2 linked regions of the Xenopus tropicalis genome follow. Each later gene encodes a partner of the first gene's protein in a complex. Links are inferred from orthologs where the notes say so. Each region holds a gene or a part of one and is shown in the gene's direction. Other genes may lie near its edges.

The links.
Region 2: nemf (region 1) and tcf25 share a complex: the UniProt entries of both Homo sapiens proteins name them as parts of the ribosome quality control complex. The link is inferred for Xenopus tropicalis from reciprocal best matches to the Homo sapiens genes NEMF and TCF25.

The regions. Positions count from the first base shown.
Region 1 is NC_030684.2:93,089,422-93,097,228, forward strand, and holds part of nemf (nuclear export mediator factor NEMF), read left to right. Parts: coding exon 1-66; intron 67-608; coding exon 609-711; intron 712-2,604; coding exon 2,605-2,730; intron 2,731-3,206; coding exon 3,207-3,355; intron 3,356-3,892; coding exon 3,893-3,960; intron 3,961-4,053; coding exon 4,054-4,140; intron 4,141-4,225; coding exon 4,226-4,299; intron 4,300-5,055; coding exon 5,056-5,126; intron 5,127-5,923; coding exon 5,924-5,999; intron 6,000-6,270; coding exon 6,271-6,333; intron 6,334-6,867; coding exon 6,868-6,945; intron 6,946-7,490; coding exon 7,491-7,699; intron 7,700-7,807. UniProt on the Homo sapiens protein: Key component of the ribosome quality control complex (RQC), a ribosome-associated complex that mediates the extraction of incompletely synthesized nascent chains from stalled ribosomes as well as their ubiquitin-mediated proteasomal degradation.
Region 2 is NC_030680.2:59,796,334-59,804,731, reverse strand, and holds the start of tcf25 (transcription factor 25), read left to right. Parts: upstream 1-3,684; 5' UTR 3,685-3,744; coding exon 3,745-3,939; intron 3,940-5,565; coding exon 5,566-5,700; intron 5,701-5,827; coding exon 5,828-5,902; intron 5,903-8,398. UniProt on the Homo sapiens protein: Component of the ribosome quality control complex (RQC), a ribosome-associated complex that mediates ubiquitination and extraction of incompletely synthesized nascent chains for proteasomal degradation.

The DNA.
Region 1 (7,807 bases):
GCTGGGACTGCGTGTACACAATGTGTATGATGTGGACAATAAGACATATCTCATCCGGCTTCAGAAGTAAGATTCTGCTCGTTATTATGTGGAAATTAAGTTTGGGAATTTTGTTATATTAAACTGTGCTCATGCAAATGAAACAGCAAATGAAACAGAAGGATGGAGTCCCTTTCTAAGCATCTGTGATATGCTGCATAGTTTTATACTCTTTGCCTTAATAAATTTCAATAGGCTGCCATAGCTTCACTTGCACGTTCCCTATTCTATAACCCAGTAGCTGTTCATAGCTGTTCATTATAGAGAGATGCTGTGCAATGTAGCAGGCAGGCCACATATTGGAGATCCCCATTCCATGTACCTTTCAGTGTGACATCTCCAGTCTTATTTCATGAAAGGAATTCGATGTAATGGATATGCATTGCTTGAGAATAATTATGGATGTAATTGAAGGCAGTAAATTTGCCCAGTCACCCACAGAAAACAAACGTGACCAATAAATGCTACCTGCTGATTGGGTGCCTAGACCTGTAGCAAAGGTTTCAGCTTTTAATACAGTATTCTTTTTATCGCTAAATATTAGAATATTATCAACTCTTCATTAACAGGCCAGACTCAAAAGCCGTACTACTAGTTGAATCAGGGATTAGAATTCACACTACAGAATTTGAGTGGCCCAAGAATATGATGCCGTCCGGATTTGCAATGAAGGTTAGTGAAAGAAAGAACCATTTGAAATGTATAATTGATATTTTTTTCTTGCTGGCAACCCCTCCATGCTTTTTTTCTCCTAGAGCTAGTGGCCTTTTCTGTCTATGGATCTCCAACCTTGCCATTGTTTTTTTTTTATAGCTCTTTGCATGGTCCTGTTTATCAATAATATTTGTATCTGTGCCAGTCTAGGCACATTCATGTGATTAGTGGAAAACTCAAAACTGAAAAGGTGTATTAAAGGACAAAGAAAGGCTAAGTCACTTGGGGGTGCCAAAATGTTAGGCTCCCCCAAGTGACTTTAATCGCTTACCTTGTACCCCGGGCTGGTGCCCCTGTTAGGAGAAAACAGCACCAGCCCGGGGTACCTGTAGCGATGCGCTTCCTCCTTCCGGCTTCGTTTTGCAAGGACTACACGACAGGCGCATGCACAGTAGAGTGAAAAGCCGACTTCTCTGTTAAAGTTCAGCTTTTCACTCTTTTGCGCATGCGCGCACGAGCGAACAGGAAGGAGGAAGCGCTGCAGCTACCCCGAACAGGGGCACCAGCCCGGGGTACAAGGTAGGCGATTTAAGTGACTTGGGGGTGCCTAACATTTTGGCACCCCCAAGTGACTTTGCCTTTCCTTCTCCTTTAAAGACCCACTAACTCTCTAGTTTAACCTATACAGCTGCTTTTAAAAGCAGCATTAAACTAATAAAAATTTACGTAAGTGGAATATACATTCATTAAACATTTGCCATTGCCTTTCAGTGTATAAAGCTGCTGTGACAGCCTTCCATCCCTACACCTTCTAAAAACTTTTCTCAGTTCAGATGTTTTCAGACATTACACCAAAAATAAAGCCTTTTTTCGGTTACTTTTGGTTACTGTTTTTTAAATTTAAAGTTTAAAATTCCTCTTTCTTGTGCTTCAGTCTGGCAGCTCAGTTATCCAGGTGCTGCCTCTGAACTGTTACAATTTGCTACATTAGGGCCATGGCAGAGGGGAGATTAATTTGCCTTGACAGGAATGCCATCCTACTGGCGATTTACATTTCTTAGCTGCAGCTGTTCAATGTTATCAACCATTGTATCCAATATGCCTTTAATGAAACTCAGGGATTATACTCAGCAGGGCCATAAGAAATGATAAGAAATGTATCAACGCATGTACAGTTTAGAGAATCAGTGCAGCGACCCCCCTCATAGAGCTGGTCCCGGGAGACATGAGAAGGTGAAAAAATAAACACATGAAAGCAATTTAAAAAAGCTCACGTTTTAGGGCTCTGGCACACGGGGAGATTAGTCGCCTGTGACAAATCTCCCTGTTCGCGGGCAACTAATCGCCCGAGTTGCCATCCCACCGGCAAAAATGTAAGTCGCCGGTGGGATGGCACACACTGCGCAGATGATTTCGGCAAATCGCCGAAGTTGCCTCGCGAGGCATTTTCGGCGATTTGCCGAAATCGTGCTGCCGCGTCTGCCATCCCACCAGCTACTTACATTTTCGCCGGTGGGATGGCAACTGATGGCAATTCGGGGAGATTAGTCGCCCGCGAACAGGGAGCCTTAGGGCTCTGGCACATGGGGAGATTAGTCGCCCGTGACAAATCTCCCTGTTCACGGGCGACTAATCTCCCTGAAATGCCATCCCACCGGCGAAAATGTAAATTGCCGGTGGGATGGCATTTTGGGGAGATTAGCCGCCCGCGAACAGGGAGATTTGTCGCGGGCGACTAATCACCCCGTGTGCCAGAGCCCTTAAATGTACCAGGAAAGCACCAGACTTCTAGGCAGTAGGGGGTAAGTTGGTCTGTGTTTTCATTCAGAATTGTGCAGAAAATAAATACTTATTACTACATTCTGTTTTTGAAAACCATAGCATCAGATCTTTGCTTCTTATTGTCCACAGTGCCGTAAGCATTTAAAGTCTAGGAGGCTGGTAAGCATTAAACAGCTAGGTGTGGACAGGATTGTGGATTTCCAGTTTGGTTCAGATGAAGCTGCCTATCATCTCATTGTGGAGCTGTATGATCGGGTAAGCAAGTGTACATTTGGGCTTTGTCAGTAACCGTCAAATGTGCATAGCTGTGTGCATTGCTGTGTGGTCTCTGGCTGTATTATTGTGCTCAAAGTAAAAATGCCAAGAGACAGTGAAACCAATCTCTTGTATCAATGAAGCATTGGGTATAAGCCACACAGGTAGCTTTCTGTAAAAAAATAAATAAATCTGTGCATGGGGTTACTATGTGCTACTGTGTTTAATGATTTAGCATCACTATTTTTACTTTAAAGTATAGATTCACTAATGTTCTTTTCTATTTGGTTCTGTGTCATGGTGCTAAGTTCCCCTTAAAAAAGGTTTAAACTAAAACATCAGCATTATGCCCAATACCTTAAGATCCAAAACTATCTGCACCCAATTTCTTATCCTTTGCTTAATTTATTTAAGGGATCATTTTATATGTACACCTATGCAGACTTTTCCTTAATGTTTCCTTAATGTCTTTCCAGGGCAACATTGTCCTTACAGACCATGAATATCTAATTTTAAACATCCTAAGGTTTCGAACAGATGAGGCAGATGATGTAAAATTTGCAGTTCGAGAACATTATCCTATAGATCATGCCAAAGCTCCTGAACCGCTACTCAGTGTGGAAAAGTAAATTCTTTTGCTTAATTTTCTTGTTGTGTGGGTAACCATTTTTAGTGTGGTATGCATAAATATTCCTTTTTTAGTTTGTCAGAGTTAGCCTATTAAAGACTAATGTGGCTGAATTCGAATCCAGTACCTTACAGTATAATTTTTTTGTATAAAAATCTCTCACAAATACATTAATGGTTTTATTTGCAATAGAGGAGCCATTGATCAAGCTCAGCTGGTGGGAATACAAGAGGTGCTCAGAGTGTGCCCATATTGAGGGTTTTATGGAGTCTGGTCCTTACCAGTGACAATAGAGTCTCTTCTTCATGCATGACAAGAGGCAGTTAAGATGGGTAAATTCGTCAAATTGCATATATCTGGCAATACACCTCTGTGGAAAAACATTTGTTTAGTTTAGATTCTAAATTGGTCAACAAGGGGAATCCTGACTCTGCAGGACTTAATGCAATGGTGCCTGGAGAGTTTCTCTATACATCAGTATTCCTATTCACCATATTTTCTGTACAATTACGGGCACACTTGTTTTGTTTCTAGACTAAAGGAAATCCTAGAGAAAGCACAGAAGGGTGATCAGTTGAAAAGAGTTCTTAATCCACATCTCCGTAAGTTTTTTTTTTTTTTTGTTTTTTGTAACATAATTATTATTGACGATATGCAGTGTATGGAAAGTAACGTGTGTTCTTATCTCTGTGTAGCTTATGGTGCTACTCTGATTGAGCATTGCCTGTTAGATACAGGACTTTCCAGCAATGTCAAGGTTGACCAGATTTCTGGACCTGAAGGTCAGTGCAGCGGCTATTAACAATTTTACTTTTAAGTTTTAAATCTATAGTAGTAAAACTGAACTGCCTTTTCTCTAATTTTAAGATTTGGAGAAGGTGCATACTGCACTAAGAAAGGCAGAGGAATACATGGATGTAACACAGCACTTTAAAGGGAAGGTAGGATGTTGTTTAATTAGCCCTTTGTAGTGAATATCAGAGCCAGCACAAGATTTAAGGAAAGCTATACCCCCAGAATGAATACTTAACCAATGTATAGTTTATATCATATTAAGTGACCTATTAAAGAATCTTACCAAACTGGAATATATATATATAAAAGTAAATATTGCCCTTTTACATCTTTTCCCTTGAGCCACCATTTAGTGATGGGCTGTGTGCTCCCTCAGAGATAACATGACCAAAGATAATGTATCTCTTATTATAGAAGACGTGTGGGAGTAAAAGACTTTGTCCGTTAATTGGCCTAACATGTATGTGTGCTCTTAGTACTCAGGGTCGCTGCTGCTATGAGGCGAGTCATGAAAATCGCCTCAGATGACAGCATCTCATAAGTTACCAGGGGCGGCAAAAAGCCACTCCTGGTAACTTTAAGGGCCGTGGCAGATGGGGAGATTAGTCACCCGCAACAAATCTCCCTTGTCGTGGGCGACTAATCTCCCCGATATGCCATCCCACCGGCTTGAATGTAAATCGTCGGTGGGATGGCATACATCGAAATCGCGGAAGTTTCCTCTGAAGGCAACACATTAGACTGACACATCTGTCAGTGCAGCTGCATGGAGCTGTGGATGAACGTGGATCCTCTTCTCTCCTCCTGCCTACAAAATGCAGGGGCATATAAACAGTCCCTATGCACTGTGTTGCCCTTTATCTTGCATTCAGTATAACATGTTATTCCCTCGAAATCCACAGGGTTTTATAATTCAGAAAAGAGAGAAAAAGCCAAGCTTGGAGCCTGACAAACCCTCTGAAGATATATTCACGTGAGTAGCCTTTAAATATATCATAAAGAATTTGAGGATGTAAGACAGCCATTAGCAGGGACTTCCCAAGCCCTCACTTGAGTGGTTCATGCATACATTTTTAGCACATATTTTCACATCTTCTCTGTGTATAATTTGTTCCTTCATAGGGTTATGGGATGCAGCTGTATTGTCTTTTCTCTGTTTATTTAAAAATAATTTCTCATTTCATATTGGAGTTATATAATAGTTAAACAAAATTGTCCTAAACCACTGAAACAGTTTGGGTTAAAATGTCATCTTTTCTGAACATAAAGTTATTGAAGTTGTTTACAATGTGTAAAGTGCCCTTTTTTCAGCATGCTGTCTTGCTTGGGTTTAGTTAGGTGAGAAGTTCCTGGAACCAGTTGAGCACAGGTAGTGAATTACTACTAGGGTGTAATGTCCAGGATTATTTGGCAGAACACCTTGAGTGTATTACCCGCACCCTATTTTTTTTCTTTTTTACAGAACAAGGCCAGGTAAGTCAGGCATAGCTATGTGGCAAATCTATGATGTCTGCCATTACTGGGTGAGCATCAAGATGCACAGAATTGGATTGGGAGTCAGTTTTGAAAAGACATACTCTTACCTGCTAGTGCACTGCATGGGTCCAGACTTTCAAAGCATAAATATATGAGAGGCAGTGTTAAGTGTTTTGTCATGTAACTGCAGAGCTTGAAATCACTATTGCAACAAAACTATGATTTACTTTTTTTTATAATTATTTGCATTTTTTACTACAGTTTTTAACCTGGAACTTTTTGTCTGTGTTTAAGGAATGAAGAATTCCATCCTTTTCTATTTGCACAGCATTGCAACAACACTTATATTGAATTAGATTCCTTCAATAAGGTGGGTTCCGTGATCATGGATTATTATAGTTACACCCCATTTATATAAAACAAAAGCTATTTGGGGGTTTTATATGAATCTGTAGATTTTACAGCTTGATGGGGCAGATTCACATCCAAATAACTAGAGATGATTCTGTCTTTCATTTTTTTTTTTTTAAATAGATGGCATTAAATTATAAAATACATTACTTTCCCCCCTAAGGTACTTCGTGCTAGTTATGCTGTGCCCCCCAACTATGTAATCTTATTGTGTTTTTCCAATGTTTTAGGCTGTTGATGAGTTTTTTTCAAAGATGGAAGGCCAGAGGATTGATCTAAAGGCTCTGCAACAGGTGCTTCACAATATTTAGTAGCAAGTAGATGCTATTTTTGCTTAGTCATTTTTATCTTAAAGGGAAAATATACCCACATTTTTTGACATAAAGCTTTTTGAACTCAAGTGTTTTTTGTTTTTTACACAGTCATGCCTAATTCCAGAGTTTGAAAGGACAGTCTGTGCTGCCATAACCAGCTTCCTCCCCACACCTAGGCTAGCAGACTGATCCCAACCCTCCCTCACCCTATTCCAATGTAAAGTCATGTATTCTCTGTACATGACACATGTGTGCACCCCTCACTATGGGAACTAGAGAGATTAGTGCCAGAATCTATTACTTCACAATGATCCCAGTAAACACAGACTATCATGTTTTTTCAAAACAAAAAAGTTATCTTTATTTCTGGAAGCTCCGATAGTGTTTAAACACCTTTTCTACATAAGGCCAACTGAATGGATTCATATCAGAAAGTGGAGGTAGGGAGGTATATTTTCCCTTTAATTTACATTTATTTTATCAGAGATTCTTAATACTGAACTTTTCATTTAGGAAAAGCAAGCCTTAAAGAAATTAGAAAATGTCCGGAAAGATCATGAGGAACGCTTGGAATCACTCCAGCATGCACAGGTATTCTAACCTCTCACATACCCTGAATTATGGCTTGCAGTATATGTATGTTATTTTGCTTACGTAGCACTACAATCTTAAATTCTTCTGCTCGGATCCTCCTGCTCTCTCCTAAAAGGGAACCAGTTCAGCCCCAAGTAAAATCCTAATATCATGGCTGCCTGTTAAGCAAAGGATAGCATACAAAATACTTTTGCTAACTTTCAAAGCCTTCACTTCTCTGCTCCTCAGTACATTTCTTCAGATATTGGATATTTTCTTAAACGACGCTGGTGTGGCTGTGACTTACAGAAGCTATAGAGTGTCTACACTGCATGTATGACTTTCTCAAATGTGTTACACACTTTACATGTTTGGCCACCTTGCTGCTTGTTTTAAGAGGTCATCTATATGCCCACCTTGAGGTGGGCAATATCAGGCTAATCCGATCATTTGACCCTTGGGCCTGATGGCTGGCACTATACACAGGCCAGTAAAATGCCAGCTTGGTCAGATTTAATGATATGATCTGCCTTACTACAAATATTTATTCTTGTCTCCGTAAGGATGCTGATAAAGCCAAAGGAGAGCTGATTGAAATGAACTTGGATATTGTAGACCGAGCTATTCAGGTAGTACGCAGTGCTTTGGCCAATCAGATTGACTGGAAGGAGATTGGACTCATAGTAAAAGAGGCACAGATCCAAGGAGATTCAGTTGCTCTTGCAATCAAAGAACTGAAGCTGCAAACAAACCACATTACCATGCTGCTTAAGTGAGTGTAAGGGAAACATTTCAAAAATGCATGTATATGAATGTATATAAGCAATGTAACTCTGCATAACTTAGGACTTGTTAAGTGCTAAAAATATTTGAATACTTT
Region 2 (8,398 bases), on another chromosome or scaffold:
CTATAGTATTGTGATTTGCAGTGTATTTAAGTACCCTATCCCTTATTAACCCATCCAAAAGCTTTCCTACCACTGATGTCCGACTAACAGGCCTATAGTCAGATGGTTTGTGCATAATAAGCCATACATTTTAAACATTAAAATATAACATTTCTTCTAGCACTGAGATGTCTATTATCAGAACATTGACTGCATTTTTATACTCTTGGGGTGTACATTTTCAAGCACATGTATGGCCATGAAGGTTTGGAGCAGTGTATTGTGTTTTTTCACTGCCATCTTCTGGGCAATTTTTATATTCAAGCAATTTAAGCAATCACTTGTTTTTGCAAAACTTCAGCCAATACCAGTGGAGATGCCAATGTGTCCTTTAAGCCCAGTTTGATGGCAAACTATTATGTGACTTTGCAGGGGTTCTATAGAATTTGCACTGCTTTTCTGCACTATGATATAGCAGATTATTAACCCGGACATTGTTTTTCATGAATAACCTTTTAATTAGCTAATAACTTCTGCCTTTTTTTCTTTAACTGCTTCTAACTTTTTTCTTTTTCCAATTTCAGTTGATAGCAGTATTCACAGTTAATGATGTTTTTATCCTTAACTGTTTCGCAAACTTAGGAAAACAGTCTCACACCCAACAGGCATTGCTCTTGCATACAATTCCATGTACACTGTCTACATATACCATATGGAATAATAGGCTGGGGCTATTTCCATGGTTTGGGTCACTGGTTCCAGTGAAGGCTAAATGGTAAAATGACATTCCTGACAATTCCATGCCTTCTTCTTTGTGGAGCAGTTTGAGCAGAATAATTCCCCCATGCACAAAACCACGTCCATACACAATAGGGATGCTGGCAACCTGGGCAGCTAAGTGGTAGATGCAGATTTAATGTAGATAAATGTAAGGTCATGCACCTGGGATGCCACTTAAACCCTTAATGGGACTGCACTTGGCAAAACCATAATGAAAAAGGACCTTGGAGTGGAGTAGCAGAAATCCATCCATAAATGAAATATGTGCCTCCTCTGTTGCCGGTTGATTCTCTTTTTGGTTGGGTAAGAGAGCCCACTGGTGTTGGTTGACTACTTGTATGTATAAAAGAAGGAACATTCACTATCTCTACCTTTGATTGTGGCAGATTTTTTGGGTAATCCCTCACCCTCCCACTCAACAACGTGTCACTCCCCACACTGAATCCCCCTGCAGTGAGAAAGGAAATTTAGTGGCACAAGAGTTACTGAAACACCAGAGCTATGGAAATGTAGGCAGAAGTACTAGCCCAGCATCCCCTCACCATTGCACCCTAGGCATATACCTCTCCTGCCTGCCCCTACTTCTGGCCCTGTTGCCCCACACCAGAGTTTGGAAAATTCTGTTAGGTTATGTGTGTCCTACCTATACAGCTGATGGATATATGTGTGTGTAAGTGGGTTACACCTGCCCCAGATTGCATGGGAAATTCAGAGATTTCACCAAGGATTGGGATAATAATGTTACAGTGATTTTCTGATCTATCAGGGAACACTGCAGAACAAGGTACTTCTTGATCAGCAAAGGAAAGAAAAATCTATTCTGTTTATTAACAGTCAGTTTTTAATGTCATGAGTAGGTTATTATAACCAACAGTTTTGGTCATGCACTTTTTGTGTGCTACACAAATGACCAGCTAGTAGGTGGATAGGTTTTGTTAGGTCATAAGGTTGAACTTGACTTATTTAATTTTTTAGCCACAGCTACTATAATACAATCATTTTGCAGGAAAACAGGTGTGTAACAATAGACAAAACATATTTTGCAACTGCTGGGGGACCCAGGAACTCTAGGGGGCTTCATGGGACTGATAAGCAGCTGGAATATTTGTTCATGGAAAATGTTCTCTCTCCAGAGTTTAGGGACCCAGAGATGTTGCTGTGTGGCCCAATAACCAGTCATTCCCTTACCTAAAAGTCCTAAAAGAATGCAAATTGCAAAAGTTTTTAGGATAGCATTCTTGTCAATTTACATTTACTTATTTTAAAAGTTTGCATATTCCTTAAATAAACCCATTAGGTTTGTTTTGCCAATATGGATTCATACAGCTTAGTTTGGATCAAGTACAAGATGCTATTTTACTATTACAGGGAAAAAAGAAATCATTTTTAAATGAGCATCCCACAATTCAGAGCTTTCTAGATAACAGTTTGAGCTCCTGCTGTGTACCAATCTGCAGTCTATATGGAGAATCTGAGCACCACCCAATATGAAAAACAGAGGGACTTCCATTTTTTTTTCTATGAATTGTCTTTATTTAAGTTTTAAAATAAACAAAGCTCTTGAGATAAAGTAACATTGGTTGTTCAATAGATAGAAGAAGAAGAGAGTGGAAATAATGAAACAAATAATCTTGTAAAATGTATCCAAAACAATCCTAAATTAACTTCTCACAGTGGTGGGGAGGTGATTATAGAATTTTGGTTTTAATGATGTAGCTATAGGATTTTAGTACATGCCAATCATTCCAAATAGTTTGTTAATAATCTGTCAGGTGACTCCTGGCAGTTGCATATGTTTAAGGTTGCCTTGGGAGGTTTGAACACGAAAATGCCTGTTCCGCTTCGTGGTTTGCCTTGGAGTATTTCAGCACTGTACCAAGTGGTGTATTGAAAACCAAGTATTGTTAAGTATTTGATTGGTTGAGGGGAGGTAATGTTAGTGAGCCATGTGTCAAAGATTTTTGGGGTATGTTTTTATTTACTGTACAAGGTTTCTATCCAGTCTAGATGGAAAATGTAGTTTTTGTCATACTAAAGTGCCAGTATCCATCATTTAACAATAAAATTAGGTTTGGGAGGGATTGAATTATTCTAAAGAGCATATAGAAATGGTCCATATGAAAGTTATGATAATATGCACTGTAAGAATAATAATAATAATGCACCTGATGCAATTGAATGAGCTCCTGCTCCTGTTAATTTCAGATGACATTTTGAACATACTTGTCCCCATATTATCAATTGAACATGTTTCTTAAATTTCATGTAAGACTACATACCTCTATGTATCTGAATGAGTGCACACATTTAGAATTAGTACTGGCTGAAACCATTACAAAAACACTTGCATATTTTGGGGCCGATTCATAAAAACACGAGTTCGAATGGGAAAAATTTGGATTGGACACGATAATTTCTGATAGATTGCAAATATTACAAAAATTTTTACGAAAAAATCGTATTAGTCACGATAATATCGTATTGACGATCCGAAAGTCACTAAATTTTCATACCGAACGATTGTAAACAGCGACAGAACCTTTCCAAATTCACGCAAGCATATGAAAAAAGTCGTGCAAGCGTGAAAAAATCGTCAAAAATACGCTCGAACGCTCCGAGCATTTATGTCTTAATAAATCTCCCCCCATGTGTCATACATCCCAGGGATACCCCTTGTCTAGCATGTATAATCTTCTGTCAGAACGTTTCATCTCCCCGCAGCCCCTTAATGCAGATAGCCTGAGCCTGGCCTCACAGGGCATGCTGGGAGACAAAGATCAGCAGTTACTAAAGGAGCCAAACAGCATGAGCTAGCTGCTGAATAACGCCGTCTTTTATTTGGATTTACTGAATGAGATGTTACAGTAGCGCCCCCAGGCTGTCATGTATAGGCATTACACGCTACGAGCCGCTAATGACCCTGAGCGCATGCGCCTGGCTGCAAATCCTTCCTGGGCTTCTGCCCTGTGAGTTTGTTTAGGTGCCATGTCCCGTCGGGCCTTGAGGAGGCTGAGAGGAGAGCAGAGAGGACAGGAGGAGCCCGGGGCCCTTGGAGGAGACGAAAATGAAAAAGACGATGAGGAAGAAGAAGCACCAAAGCTCCCGGAACCGCGAAGCCGTAAAGCACGTGGAAACCGGAAACTCTTGGAGGAGCGGGGCCTAAATAACCCCTTCCAGCTGGTGAGTGGGGGAAGGCAAATCCAGGGACACCGGGACCTATATGTGAGATTAGTACAGAGCCAGAACCGGCCATAAGGGAACATGAATTAGACCAAGCAGTGATAGGTGCAGTACTGTTGGTTAGGAACAACTAGTAATCAGCTGGCTACATCCTCTCAGTAGTGAGAACCACCAGTGACACCTACCCTACAGGTGCAGTAACTGCAGCCCTCTGGTGTATTGCTTGTCAACCGCAGCTCTGACTTATAGCTTCTGGCTCGGTTTCCCTGGCCTGTTTGGGCCAAGTGAGTTTTATATAAGCCCAGCTGGGGGGGGGGGAGTTCTGCATACACTCTCTGGTACAATTACATTATAATTCAGTGGAGAGATAGGCTAATGTTCTCCCTACAGTAAAGTGCTCTATGAACCATAGATCTTAGATAAGTGTTTATTATCTTGGCATAACATTAGGAAACAAAGGGAAAGTTTACCTGCAAATGAAATTTATGTATGGTATAGAGTGGTATATAGCATTTCAGCCCAGTATTTCTGTCCTTATTAGCATTAATGTTCAGATGGTTCGGTTTTAGTTTTTAGGCCATCTCTTATTTGTCTACCATTCTGACTTCCAAACTGTTGTCTGGTTACTAGTGTAAATAAGTCCTAGAAACTAGATAACAGCTGAAATGCCAAGGCTCAGAGCTGCTGAACAGAAATAAATATTTTAAAAGCCATACCAACTGAAGACTAATTGCAAATTGCCCTAGAATAATACTATATAATACTTATATTTAATATGAAGTGAAGAATGCATCCTGCACCTGCTCAGTCCTGTGTATAATGGCCTGTTTGCAAACACTAGCTGATGGCTGCTTAGCCTGAGCTGGGATATTCATGAAAATTGTCAACATTCAAGAGCAGCACTGAGGAAGAATCTAGGGACCATTCAACAGAGGAATATCCAACCTATGTACATTTAGGCAAGAAATACCCTGCCTCTGATTCAAAGGGACCATATCCCCACCCCACAGAGGCTGTTAGGACCCCCCCTTACCATGTTTTAAGTGAAAGTGATGCTTTCTGCGAATCTAAATTCCTTTATCTTTTCTCAAGAGGACTTCACACCACCCACTCTGCGTACTAAAAGTTACCATCCTGCCTTTTCCTTTCCGTGCAATCAGCTGTGTTTGGATAAAAATACTTCTGAAAGTAAGGCTAATGTCCCATGGGGAGATTAGTAGCCCACGGTAGCAGAGATTTATAAAGGGCGATAAAATCTTTACACTGGCAACAAAGAAAATCGCTGGTGGAAAGACCTACACATTGCTTAGTTCTTCAGAAGTTACCTGCAGCTGGAAACTTCGCGCCACGATGTGTAGGCCTTTCCACTGGAGATTCTCTTGGTTGCCAGTGGAAAGGCATTTTGGGAAGATTAGTCACCCATGGTAGCAGAGATTTATCACTCTGTGTGGCATTAGCCTAAGGGACAGTTGGGTCTGATAAGAATGAGGACCTTCAGGGTCTGTTGGAGACTCAGGCCATTGGTACCAACTGATCTGTCAGCTTGTGTTATTTGGAGCATTATAAAGTTTAGCAATCTAGTCCTTGAACCACTTGTCATATCTGCTTTTTGGTTTATGTCTGTAGATAATTGACCATGATTGTGATGCTCGGAGTGATTCAAACATCAAGCATGTCACAAATCCTAGGCTTAATGAGGAGAAAGAGACAAATACTTGTAAGACGGACCAAGATGCCACTGAAGATCCTGCTTTGAACCAGGTGAGGAAATAATAGTAGAGGAGTTACTTAGAATATGGGAGTATTTATCAGCCAACCGGCTGCTTTTATTAGGAATTTGTTTTTTTTTTCTGTAGCATATTTACCTGCCATTTCTGTACCTGAATAGGCTGCTCCAAGCAACAAACCAAAGAAGAAGAAAAAAAAGAAGAAATCAAAGAAATGCACTATTTCAGAGAACCAGGTAACATATCATCAGCTCATGCCCATGATGTTATGTTTTCCATAACAGAAGAGCACATTTGGCAAAGCAGTGATAAGAGGGATAGCATACTTGCTTTTAATTAGAGACCATCCACTTTGTTGTTTGTGTCCTAATGGAAGAGCAAACAAAAAAGGGAAATGTAAATGAGGCGGAATTTGACTAGTAAAGCTGGCCATACACGCGTGTATGGCAAGTCGGCGAGGCAACCGATATCGCAGGAGGCTGCTGATATCGGTCGACTCGCCAATCGGGTGGTTTAAAAGATTTTGATCGGGCGCCATAGAAGACGTCTGAGCAAAATCTGCCTTCTGCTGAATCGGCAGAAGGAGGTAGAAATCCTATTGTTTCTGCCTCCATATCTGCCGTTTCAGCCCTGAACGTCAGTGGCCGATTGGAACGATGTCGCACGAAAGATCGAAAATTGCCACGTGTGTGGCCACCTAAAGTTCTTAGACTACCCAACTTTCTGCGCTGTATAGTAAATGTACAGACAGATACTGACAAATGCAGGAGAAAAAGAGGGCTCTGCCAGTTAGAGCAATGCAGATAATTAAAAAAGCATAATGGTTTGGTGAATACTTGGAGATACATTAGGGTGGGGACATTTCAAGCATAGTAGATTAAGTTTTAGTAGCATTTAGTAGCAGAGATTTAGTAGCAGAGACTGGTGTTAGGACCTGCAAGGGGCAGAAATGGTTGGTGAGATCAATGAGTTTGGTAGCCATATTCATGGTCATTTTTAGAAATATTCCTTAAATAAATGTGACAATTTAGTTATCCTTGGATACGAGGAGTGATGGAGGCAACTTTGGGCCTGGGCAGACAGGGTAAGAGTGGAGCTGGTTTTTGTTTCAACTTATAATGTTTACATTGCACTTTATTATCTGTCATATATATATATATATATATATAAATAGGATCTTTTCCTGAATCGCTGTCAGTTATGTAATATACTTGCGGCAATTCAAATGTTGCCAAAGGTAATTGCACTTTTCGGGAGATTTGTCACCAATGGTAGCAAATTTTAATTGTTGGAGACAAAACTTCCCATGAGCCATTGCCTTTACAGACCAATTTTATGTGTGAGCCAAGCTTACTAGAAAATTACTGTGGGCTGAGACAGGTATTTTGATCTCTGTGTCTCACCCAGGGAGCATCTTGTAGGTCAAAGTACTTGGTGTGCCATAAGCTATAGCTAGCTTCACAAATAGGGAACATAGTAAGAAAATGATAAAAAAATACAGTCTTGCTTGCTTTGCATTTGTGTACCTTTAAAGAGAGAGAGTGTTTTTATTTGTTTAAAAACAATGCGTAATATGGTGCATATTAAATCAGTTTGGTTTAAAAAGTAAAGATCTCATTAGTGTGATCACTCTCACAAGAAATTTGTACCCTCAAGCAGGTGAAATTCAATATAATAAGGCATGCAGTGAAGAAGTAGCCCATGCTTAGTTAAATTAACAAGTAGCTATGACATAAGTGACTTAAGAAAAAATGCAAATAAGTCAAAATGACCACTCTGTAGAGTTTCACTTGATTACAGTCTGCCATCTCTAGAGAATGCTTCTGTTGAAGGTTGTACCAGATGAAAAGTCTGATATTAGCCCATCTGTCATGGGCAAATGTCTCTTTAGCCCATTTATTAAAATGCCTCCAATCTGGAGATAGTGTCCCACAGGATGCCCAGCATTTTTGTAAGCCATATGCCTTTGCTTCCACCACATTGCTTTGTTACTCACACAGCTAAGTGGCTGCAGGGGTTCCTAACTTCCCCTCAATATTTTATTTGCTTCTTCCCACAAAAGGCCATGTTGCTGTAAGCTTTCAGAAAGTGTTGCTTTCCTGTTTTCATAAACCCCTCATCTGAGGTGAGACACTGAAATAGAATTAAAACACCCTCTGTCAGAATAGCTCATTTACTACACTGCACCTTCCAGTGCTGATGGCTGCTTTAACAATGAGAGTAAAAGACATAAGGGGACTTCATTGAGGGGGTTAAACAGATGCATTTAATTTACCAACTATGAATATATATTTGTAATGAAAAACCTAACTAGTCCTGCCAATCTGTTCCACTTCCTGCTGACTGAACTCTGGATGTGCAGGGGAGCTGGCAGCACTCCGCACACTGCACTGTAGGATAGGAACCAATCAGCACCTAGGCTGACCTGATAGGAAACTGAAACCTGTCTTTGCTTGTGTGACTGCAGGGCTGTGATTGGCTAGTCCTCTCCTGTTGTGCTTCTGGCAGGGACCCTTAGGACACACCTGTCCTCTTTTAAAACACTGACACGGACCAGAGAGGATCTATAGGAAACTCCAATAAAGGGGCCATTTTTAAAGTTAGTATTTTAGTCCAAAGCAAAACCAGCACCATATATTATTCATAATTGCCTACAAGGTTCGAGATTTTTTCATTTATCCAATACATCTCCTTTAAACAATAACTTTACATGATCTGTTATCTGAAAACCT